2 linked regions of the Oryzias latipes genome follow. The protein of the gene in region 2 purifies or fractionates together with the protein of the main gene of each other region. This does not show direct contact. Links are inferred from orthologs where the notes say so. Each region holds a gene or a part of one and is shown on either strand. Other genes may lie near its edges.

What was found.
Region 1: the proteins of sap30l (region 2) and hdac2 purify together in Homo sapiens (affinity purification with mass spectrometry; 3 studies listed by BioGRID and IntAct, with this or other methods). This does not show direct contact. The link is inferred for Oryzias latipes from reciprocal best matches to the Homo sapiens genes SAP30L and HDAC2.

The regions. Positions count from the first base shown.
Region 1 is NC_019882.2:21,614,168-21,618,549, reverse strand, and holds the start of hdac2 (histone deacetylase 2), read right to left. Parts: upstream 3,109-4,382; 5' UTR 2,989-3,108; coding exon 2,934-2,988; intron 735-2,933; coding exon 622-734; intron 445-621; coding exon 327-444; intron 1-326. UniProt on the Homo sapiens protein: Histone deacetylase that catalyzes the deacetylation of lysine residues on the N-terminal part of the core histones (H2A, H2B, H3 and H4).
Region 2 is NC_019872.2:28,917,597-28,922,039, forward strand, and holds the start of sap30l (histone deacetylase complex subunit SAP30L), read right to left. Parts: upstream 2,957-4,443; 5' UTR 2,356-2,956; coding exon 2,170-2,355; intron 266-2,169; coding exon 143-265; intron 1-142.

The sequences.
Region 1 (4,382 bases), on a different chromosome or scaffold from region 2:
ATCGACTTTTATAGAGAAATAAACAGCTGTTCCTCAGTCATTCTATTGGTCAGAAGAACCATACTTTTTCTGATGACGTCATCCCTTTTGTTTTTACATCATTCTATAGTTCAGGTTATGCAATTCTCTAGGTTATGCAGTCTATAGTTCAGGTTTATCACTTATAAAGTGACCAATCAGATGCCTCAATAAAAGTAGGTGGTCCCACGTCCAGCGTTGGAAACATTTGACGGATTGTAGCTTCACTGACAATCCACTTCACTTGACTTGTATCCTGTACAAAATGCTTCCTTAAGTTTGTCTGAACGTCAACAGAGCCCACTCACAGCGCTGCATCTGCTTGCTGAACTCGGACATGTTGTCTGGCCGTATGGATCTGAGGAACTTGATGTAGTCGTCACTGTGGTATTTGGTCATCTCGTCTGCGGTGGCTTTGTGTGGCCTCTGAAACCAGGAGAAAGGTGGAAGGGAAGAAACCAGAACTGAATGAAAGCAGGAGCGAACACAGAACTAAGAGCAAACCGCCAAGCTAAATCGACGTTTCCTAATGTCTGAAGTCTGCTGAGGATCAGGTCACATGGAGACACGCTCCTCACAGCAACAGAGCACAGGAAAACATACATAGATCTCCATTTTTCTGTAGAGGCCATAGTTCAGGAGGAGGTTGTGAGTCATGCGGATCCGATGTGGCTTCATGGGGTGTCCTTGTCCATAATAGTAGTTTCCAACATCACCTAGACACAAGAAAAACACAAAATCAATGATGCAGATTGCCAACATTAGCTCCACCAGCTTTTCTGATTCAACTGTTGGCATCTGTGTTGTTCCAACAGAGAACATGAGCAGCAAACGACAGAGGAAGACAACTCAGAGCACTGATCTGTGGAACAACCGAAGCTTCAGAACGATGACTCACATCCTCACCGTTATTTATTACTGCTCAGTAAACAAACCAGGAACAGTTTACAGCAGACAGAAAACGGGACTGATCCCTGTCCAACAAACTGGACCCTCCCAACCAAAATGTACTCTGACATCTCATAATGTCAGTTTATTCTTTACATTATGATTTCAGTCAGATTATTAAAATATGAAACCGCTCTAAACAAGTGCCAGTTCTAATGGGCTGAACTTTTATGACACTTATGTTCACGAAGATCTACATCTGCATCAGTAATCTAGTCATTTCAAAGTGATGTGCACGTCATTAGTGCACGTGGGACTGCTCTAAGCTAAATGTGACCGCAGAAAAAGGTGAAGTGAATTGCTTAAATGAACATGGTGTTTTTAACACGTTCTGGCAGCATTATTCTGAATATGAAGAAAATTAAACAGAAAATTGAATTTCCGAGTATTTCTTTGTTCAAACTGTTGTGAGTCAGGAGCGGATAAAAAATATGCAGTTGGGAATAGCTATAAGCAAGCCCCAAGCTCCCTGTTCTGTTCCACTCTAAAGGCCTGTTCACACCGGGACGAATTTCGCCGGCGATTTTCGCCGACGTTTAACGCCTCGTGACTAAACAAAGGGCACCAACGAGAGTGTGCACATCGACGCGAAAAAACGCCAGGCGTTAAAGCGTCCAAAAAAAAACGCCTCGGGTTCGTTTTTTTTTTCCGACGAAATCTACTCGACCAATGAGAACGGCGCTTTTGCTCACGTGTCTGGAGCTTCTGAAGTTACAGTAAAACACAACTTGGGGGCGCTCAAACACAAAACTGCCTTGCTGAGCACACATACCAGCGAAGAAGATAGACGCCAAGTAGCGTCTACACAGCCGCGAAGCAATAATGACGGACATTCTAAAACATCCCCGAACCAAGCACCAGTTGGAGCTACTGGTGCTTGAAATATTCATGTTTTCTTTGTTTGATTCTGACAAGCGTGTAAAAACTTGCTCTCTTCTTCTGAGTGAAAAGCGACTTTAAGAAGCGTAAAGTTGCGCAGCGCCACCTTGTGTACAGGAGTATTTCAGTTTTACATTAAGCGCCATCTAATGTCAGGGAATGAAATTGCATGTTCACTCCACTCATCGTCAGCGAAAATCGCCTGGGTGTGAACACAAAAAACGTGGCGAAAAACGCTGGCGAATAACGCCTGGCGAATATTCGTCCCGGTGTGTACGGGCCTTAAGGCATCCACCTGCAGACTAATGGATCCATGAACGTCTTTGTTTTCCTCGTCTGAGCTGGAATCGGGATAGATCTGATATTGGCCATCTTTTTTGTTGCACTGCTAATGTGAGGATGGGGTTGTGAGGGGCTGTAAGCTAGTGGTAGAGTAGAGTGTAAACGGGGGGGGGGGGGGGGGGTGCTCTGCATCAACAGTCCCACCCACAACTCAGAGGTTAATGCTCTGCAGAAACTATGTCCCAGAAAACAACACAGGTTTTTGATTTAAAAAAAAATAATAACTTAAAGCGATCGGACACGCTTGTGTTTGGACCTGAACGCAGGTTTAGAGCCACCCGGGGCTTCTGCAGACGGTCACGTGACGTGTAGGTGAGCCAGGCCGCGCGTGCTCGTCTGGAAGCAGTAGAGGCTGCCAGTCGTGTGTTCTGTGGATGGTTGCATTGTGGGACGGCAACCTCGTTAAAGACGTTAAAAGCTTTTCTCCTCATACGTTCCCGGATGTGGGTTCTCCTCGGTGGGATCTTGAAAGATCACAACAGAACGCCGGCTGAACTGCCTGGGTCTCAAACAAGACTGACGTACGTAGCCGTAACTCACACAACGAGGGGTGGAGACAGACGTGAGGCGCCGGCTACTTAACGTACAGTGCCCCCCTCAGATGTTGGCTTTACACCGTTTCAATGAAGCAGAAAAGACTTTAGCCCCGGAGAAATGAGTTCCGACCGTAACTGACCGATGCTAGCACATGCTCGATGCTAACAGCTAGCGTTAGCCTGGCTCGTGCGCCACACAGCAGCTCTTACCGTCGTAGTAGTAGCAGACCTTCTTCTTAGTTCCACCTGCAACCGTGTACGCCATGCTACAAGCTCCTTTAGCTCCACAGGTGAGGCTCAATTCGCGTTAACAGAAAGACAAGAGCTGGATGGAGAACATCTGCACGGCGTCGCTGAGTGGGAGGGGCTACGTGGGCTGGGCGGGGCAAGGTTGGGCTCCGCCCCTGCGCCCCACTTTAAGTTTCTTTGTCCTTGTTCTTTTGTTTTGCGTCTTTGGGGCAGGGCATCAACACATGATATGTGGATTGCCAGTTCTGTCTGTGGTAGTCTAGCCATGCCACCAGGAGATCATTTTAGTACAAGACTCTGCAACCTTCTACCCCAGTTTGAGCCTCTTCCTTCTGACAGACTCAGAGTCGCACAGCCCCACTTCACACTCAATTCATGCTTCAGGCACGTGAAAATCTCCTTTATCTGGACTTTGCTTTGCACTGTTGAACCTTATTTAAATTTGTTCTTCACCTCTGCTTCTTCAACTCCTCCCTCAAAGCCACAAAGCCCTTTTTTTTTTACTTACACCACTTGGTCCTCTGCTCTGGCCTTGTCCTCGTCTATGGAGTGATTTATGTGTCCCATTATTCCAAGCGTACTTGAAATACTTGAAATATTTTGTGTGCTCAAAAATATTTTGCACTTGAAACATAAAAATGCACTTGAGACTCAAAAATAAGTGCAAACAAAACAGTTTTACTCTTGAAACCTAAAAATATGTCCAATCAAAACAATTCTCTATGTGTCACAAAAGCCAGTTAATCACAGACATGGGCATAAAGTTTGATGCCGATTGGTCAGAAATTCTTCCAATCGCACACAGACCTGATCCAGTCTACGAGCCGTCTAAAGTCTACAGTTTTTGGGTTTTCTGGCCCGTCAAGAGTCGTAGAGAGGAGTGGCTGCTCCTTAAGATGTCTTGTAGTTCCCTTGAGGCTTGCACAACCACCTTAAAGGTTATTGTTTTGCATTTCGTAAGTACATGGTGAAGTATTTGTTAGGATAATGGAAGTTACAAACTGATGAGGTATGGGTGTTCTTGCTCAGGGGGGCGGAAAAAATGAAAAATCAACATGAAATGCCTGTGTCTTACATACTTCACCTGTGCCTGCCGTTGTGTGTTGTTAAAGTACCTGACGACCTGCCGCCCGCACCAGCCCGTAGAAAAACTGAGCATGAACATTCACTGAGTGGTCTACAATCTTGAAATTTCGTGCGGGCCGCCTGCTTGTCTCATACAGATTTGGCCCTTTTTCATCTGCAGACAGCCCGTGCCCACCCCTAAGAGCAGTTGGGACTAAGGCTTTAGCTTTCTCTTCTCAGCATCTACAGTCAAACTGGAGATTATTCATCCAATCAGGCAATTTGGGCTAAAAGATACTTTATTCCATCAGCAAGTTTCTTCTTTGTTGGAAATAATACAGATGT
Region 2 (4,443 bases):
ACTCCAAAATCCACCTACAGAGAAACCAAAGCAGAGGCATTTTGAAAGGAGTCTGAAGAATGATAAAACTCCAACCCACTCTGTGGCGGTTTCCACACAAAGCAGACTCCTCTGAGGAGCAGAACCTGACTGCCGCTCTCACCTCAGGAACCTCCACATCGTGATCTGGAGATTCGCCTCCATCGTCGCTGGTCTTTCTCTTCCTCTTGTTACGGACGCTCTGGATGAAATTCTTGTGGAAATCACAAATGTAGAGATGTCTCACCTGTTGAGAGGAGAATGTGTATTAATAATGCAGTCAGAGAGGTGAAAGTCTGAGTCTTTACAGAAAAACAACAAACAAGCACGAGCAAAAAGCTGCAGATAAACCGTCTAATTGTCAATATGCAACAATCTACTGCTATAAACCGCTGGGGCTGCAGGGTCAAATGCATCCGCAGACATTTCTGCAACAGTTTTCTCAGCTGAGAGCCAGAAGTGCAGCTTTCAATCCACCTTCCTGCATCCCGTCACATGATGAGGCTCAGCCTTCCTGGAAAAGCCTCCCAGGCAAACAGAAAACTGAGCAAATAGTGCAGCACCGTGAACGTTACAGAGCAAGTCGGACGGAGAAGACCTTCATGCCTCGACGGGAAACGCCTTTACCAAATCTGAAGATATCCTACAAGCGATGGCCGCAAAGATACGGACTTACGCAACAGGAAAACCTCTGTGTTTCCATTTCGGAGGAGCTCGGCTGCTGGTTTGAAATCGACGCGTTTCTGCCAAAGCAGCGGCAGGAGATCAGCTCTCACCGAGAAGAAAATCTGATGTTTGTTCCATTTTCCAAGAGCTTCCAATGGAAAAATTGAAACAAGTTTTGCCAGAGGAAGACGGCAGCTTTACTGACCCTGGTGATGAAGACTGTGCTTTGTTATGCAGTTTAGATGAAGAACATGCATTGTTTCAGCTTTCAGTTGGATCAATCAGATATTTTGAATATGATCATCTTTTCATCTATGGTTAATGATGATGATCCCCTTTTGGAATCGTTTTCTAGGACATAGTTTCTGCAGAGCAGCCGGAGTTCATTAGAAAAATCTCCTCTGAGCTGTGGTGGGGACCGTTGACATGGAGTGAGCCCTCCCCTGCTTCCCAACATCCGTTTGTTTGAGCACAGCCCCTCAAACCCCCAACCTAACATTAGGGGTGTAACAAAAATGGCAGCAATATCAGATCCATCCATCCGTACAGCTAAGATCCAGATTCCAGCTCAGACCAGGAAAACAAAGACGTTCACGAATCTATGTGTCTGCATCAGAATGGAGCAGAGCGGGACGCTTACTGCTTGCCGTAGTAGGTTTTTTTTTTTTCACATCGATTTGAATAGAGAGAGAGTATTAGTTTATTCAAACAGTTTTGTTGTTGTGAAAAAGATAAATGGGTAAATGTGGTTAAAGGGTGATTGTGTCACTAAAGGAAGTAGAATCAATAAAGTTATGAGTTTAGAAACTAAACATAAGAAAATCAGGCCACAGCAGCAGCAGGGCTGTGGTTCAACTCCTGACGGAATGCTCTTGGGCAGAAAAAGCCTTCATCAGTCCGAGCTGCTCATCATCATCAACTACAACAGCAGCAGTGAGTGGGGGTTCGTGTCACGCGGCGTCACGGATCCCCCACGAGGACGAGGCTGCTGTGGAAAAACCATGAATTCCAGCGGGGGGTGGGGTAGGTGGGGGCATCGGCGTTACTTTTTCTTTCTGCACCGTCATGGAAGCAGCTTCGATCTTTGTGTCGTTTGACGTGAACCTCGGTGGGACGAAGCCCCGCTGCAGGCTCAGTCACTGCTGCGCAGAAAAACAGCCATTTTACGAAGCGGGGGGGGCGGGGGCGGGGGGTACTGGAGAAAACGGCCCGAATCTGAGTGGAGCCGACACCCCCCCTGGCCCGAACAGGGCTGACATTTACCTGAGAGGCGAGAACACAGGTGAGCCTACAGAGACTGGAGTTTTCCGCAGCAGGAACTCCACCGGAGTCGAAAAACCGTCTCTGCTGATCAACCGGCTAGCTTAGCTAGCATTAGCTGACAGCTAGCTGACAGGACGGTTCCCGCGAGCCTCCCGCTCTCTGCCGACACTCCGCGCGAGCTCAGAAAATGAATGACCAAATGAGAAATGAACAGCTGCTTACGCTTTTATCGATGTCCAGCTTGAGCTTCTTCTGTGAAATGCTCTTCTGGATCCTCTTGCTGAAGGAGGCGTTTCCTGCCGAGCGGCCGCAGCGCTCCCCGTCCTCGATCAGGCAGCAGCTCTGTCCGTAGAACGGCGGAGCAGGCGGTCCGTCATGACTGTCCTCTTCCGTGCTGAAGCCGTTCATGGCGCGCGGCTGTCACCAACTTCTCGGGCCGAACGGGGAAGGAAAAACTCACACTCGGCGGCCGGCTCCCTCGTTCACGCGCGGCGCTTTTGTGTTCCAGTGGAAGTCGTCCCGGCAACGTTAGCTTCGCTAGCTAACCTAGCTAGGTGGCTATTTGTCGAGATAACAGTCTTCGTCCTTTGGTCACTGTTCACGGTTTCTCTTGATTGAAGCCATTTCTTTGTATCCCCAACAGATCAACGCCAAAAGCCCGTAACGTTACTGCGGACCGGCCTTACTTAGTTCGTGCCAACCGGGGAGCAAGGTGGATGATGCTGGAATTCCTTCGGTGAGAGCACCGTAGTTCGATAGCTGCACTAACCACCAGTTACTTTCCCATCATCCCCCTCGAGTCCTTCTGAAAAGTGACAACAGTTCTCCAATCCAGCGTAAAATTATAAACAAAATCGCGTATTCACTGCCTAAAACAGCAATATTCTTTCAGAACTGCTCGTACAAAGGAACATGCTCCGTCTTTGTGAAGGAAGTTCTCGTACTAAATATAGATTGGCCGACGTTCAGCCAAGGCGGGCTCAGTGTGCGAACTCTGAAATCCTATTGGCTAATGCAAATGCCAATCACCCCCCAAAGAGCTTTTCCTGGTAAACTCCCGTCATATGCTTTTTTTTTTCCGTCATATGCTTTTTTTTTCCGAGTTAAAGGTGACGTTGTGTCCAGACAGTGACTTTTAAACTACGCACCAGACAAAAAACAATCACCAAAACTATTTAAATGATTCACAAATCCCCCAACGAGCACACCGCTTATTCTGATCATTTAAACCGAGAAGTTTTTTTTAAAACGACCGGAAAAATAACGAGGTGTAACTTTCGGCGTCCACGCGCCTCTGCTTCAGACACTGGATACACATCCTGCTAGGATCGCCTCTTTATACATCTTAGCGTACTATGACAAAAACCGACGACAACAATAACAAGCTTTGCACTGATCACTTCTTGTTGCTTCGTGTTTTGTGACGAACAAAAATGAATGAACAGATGTTGACATCGACACACTGTAATTCCCTTAAGCACCACAAGGGGGAGACAACGCCTGCGAAAAGATCCAAAGGGAAATCTTGAGAAAAGTCACAATACTGCAGTGCTTAGTCACAACCTATATAATTTAAAAGAGATGGTTGTTACATCTGTAGCACAAAAATGTTCACAGGGAGCTTGAATTTGGGCAAATTCAACTATATATGTGCCTATTGTGAAGGAAAATACTTATGCATAAAATAGGTAAGATATTAACAGGTTTAGATATGTAAATCTTGTCTCAAGATTCAAAGGGTTTATTATCATATGCACAGTAAAGAAACGGGTTTCCCTGCACAATGAAATTCTTTCTTTGCTGTCTGCTCCAAATGCCAAACGTATAGAGGAAACAAAACAATTCACTCACATCATACACACAAAACACAAGATGTCGAGTGGCAGTTGTAAAAGTGCAAATGTGCAAAAGTGACAATGACAATAGCAACAATTAGGATAAGCAAAGGTGCAGTTTGTTTTTTCCAGACTCCAGTCAGCTGTTAAGGAGTCTGATGGCAGAGGGAAAGAAAGAGTTCCTAAATCTGGTGGTCCTGCACTTCACACTGCTGTACCTCCGTCCTGAGGGGAGGAGAGTGAACAGTCCTCGTTGCGGGTGGGTGGGGTCTTTGATGATTGAGGCAGCTCTCCTGCAGACCCTGCGTTTGTAGATGCTCTGCAGCGAGGGAAGAGGAGTCCTGGTGATCTTGGACGCAGTCTTTACCACTCTCTGCAGGCGTTTGCGGTCCGCAGCGGTAGAGCTGCCGTACCACACTGTGATGCAGCTGGTCAGGATGGACTCAACCATGCAGCTGTAGAAGTTGCTGAGGATCTTTGGGGACATGCCGAACCTCCTCAGCCTCCTCAGAAAGTACAGCCGCTGATGAGCTTTCTTCACCAGCTGTGACGTGTTTAGTGTCCAGGTGAGGTCCTGGCTGAGGTGAACCCCCAGATATCTGAAGCTGCTCACCCTCTCCACTTCCAGACCCCGGATAAGAAGCGGCTGATGAGGGTTCCT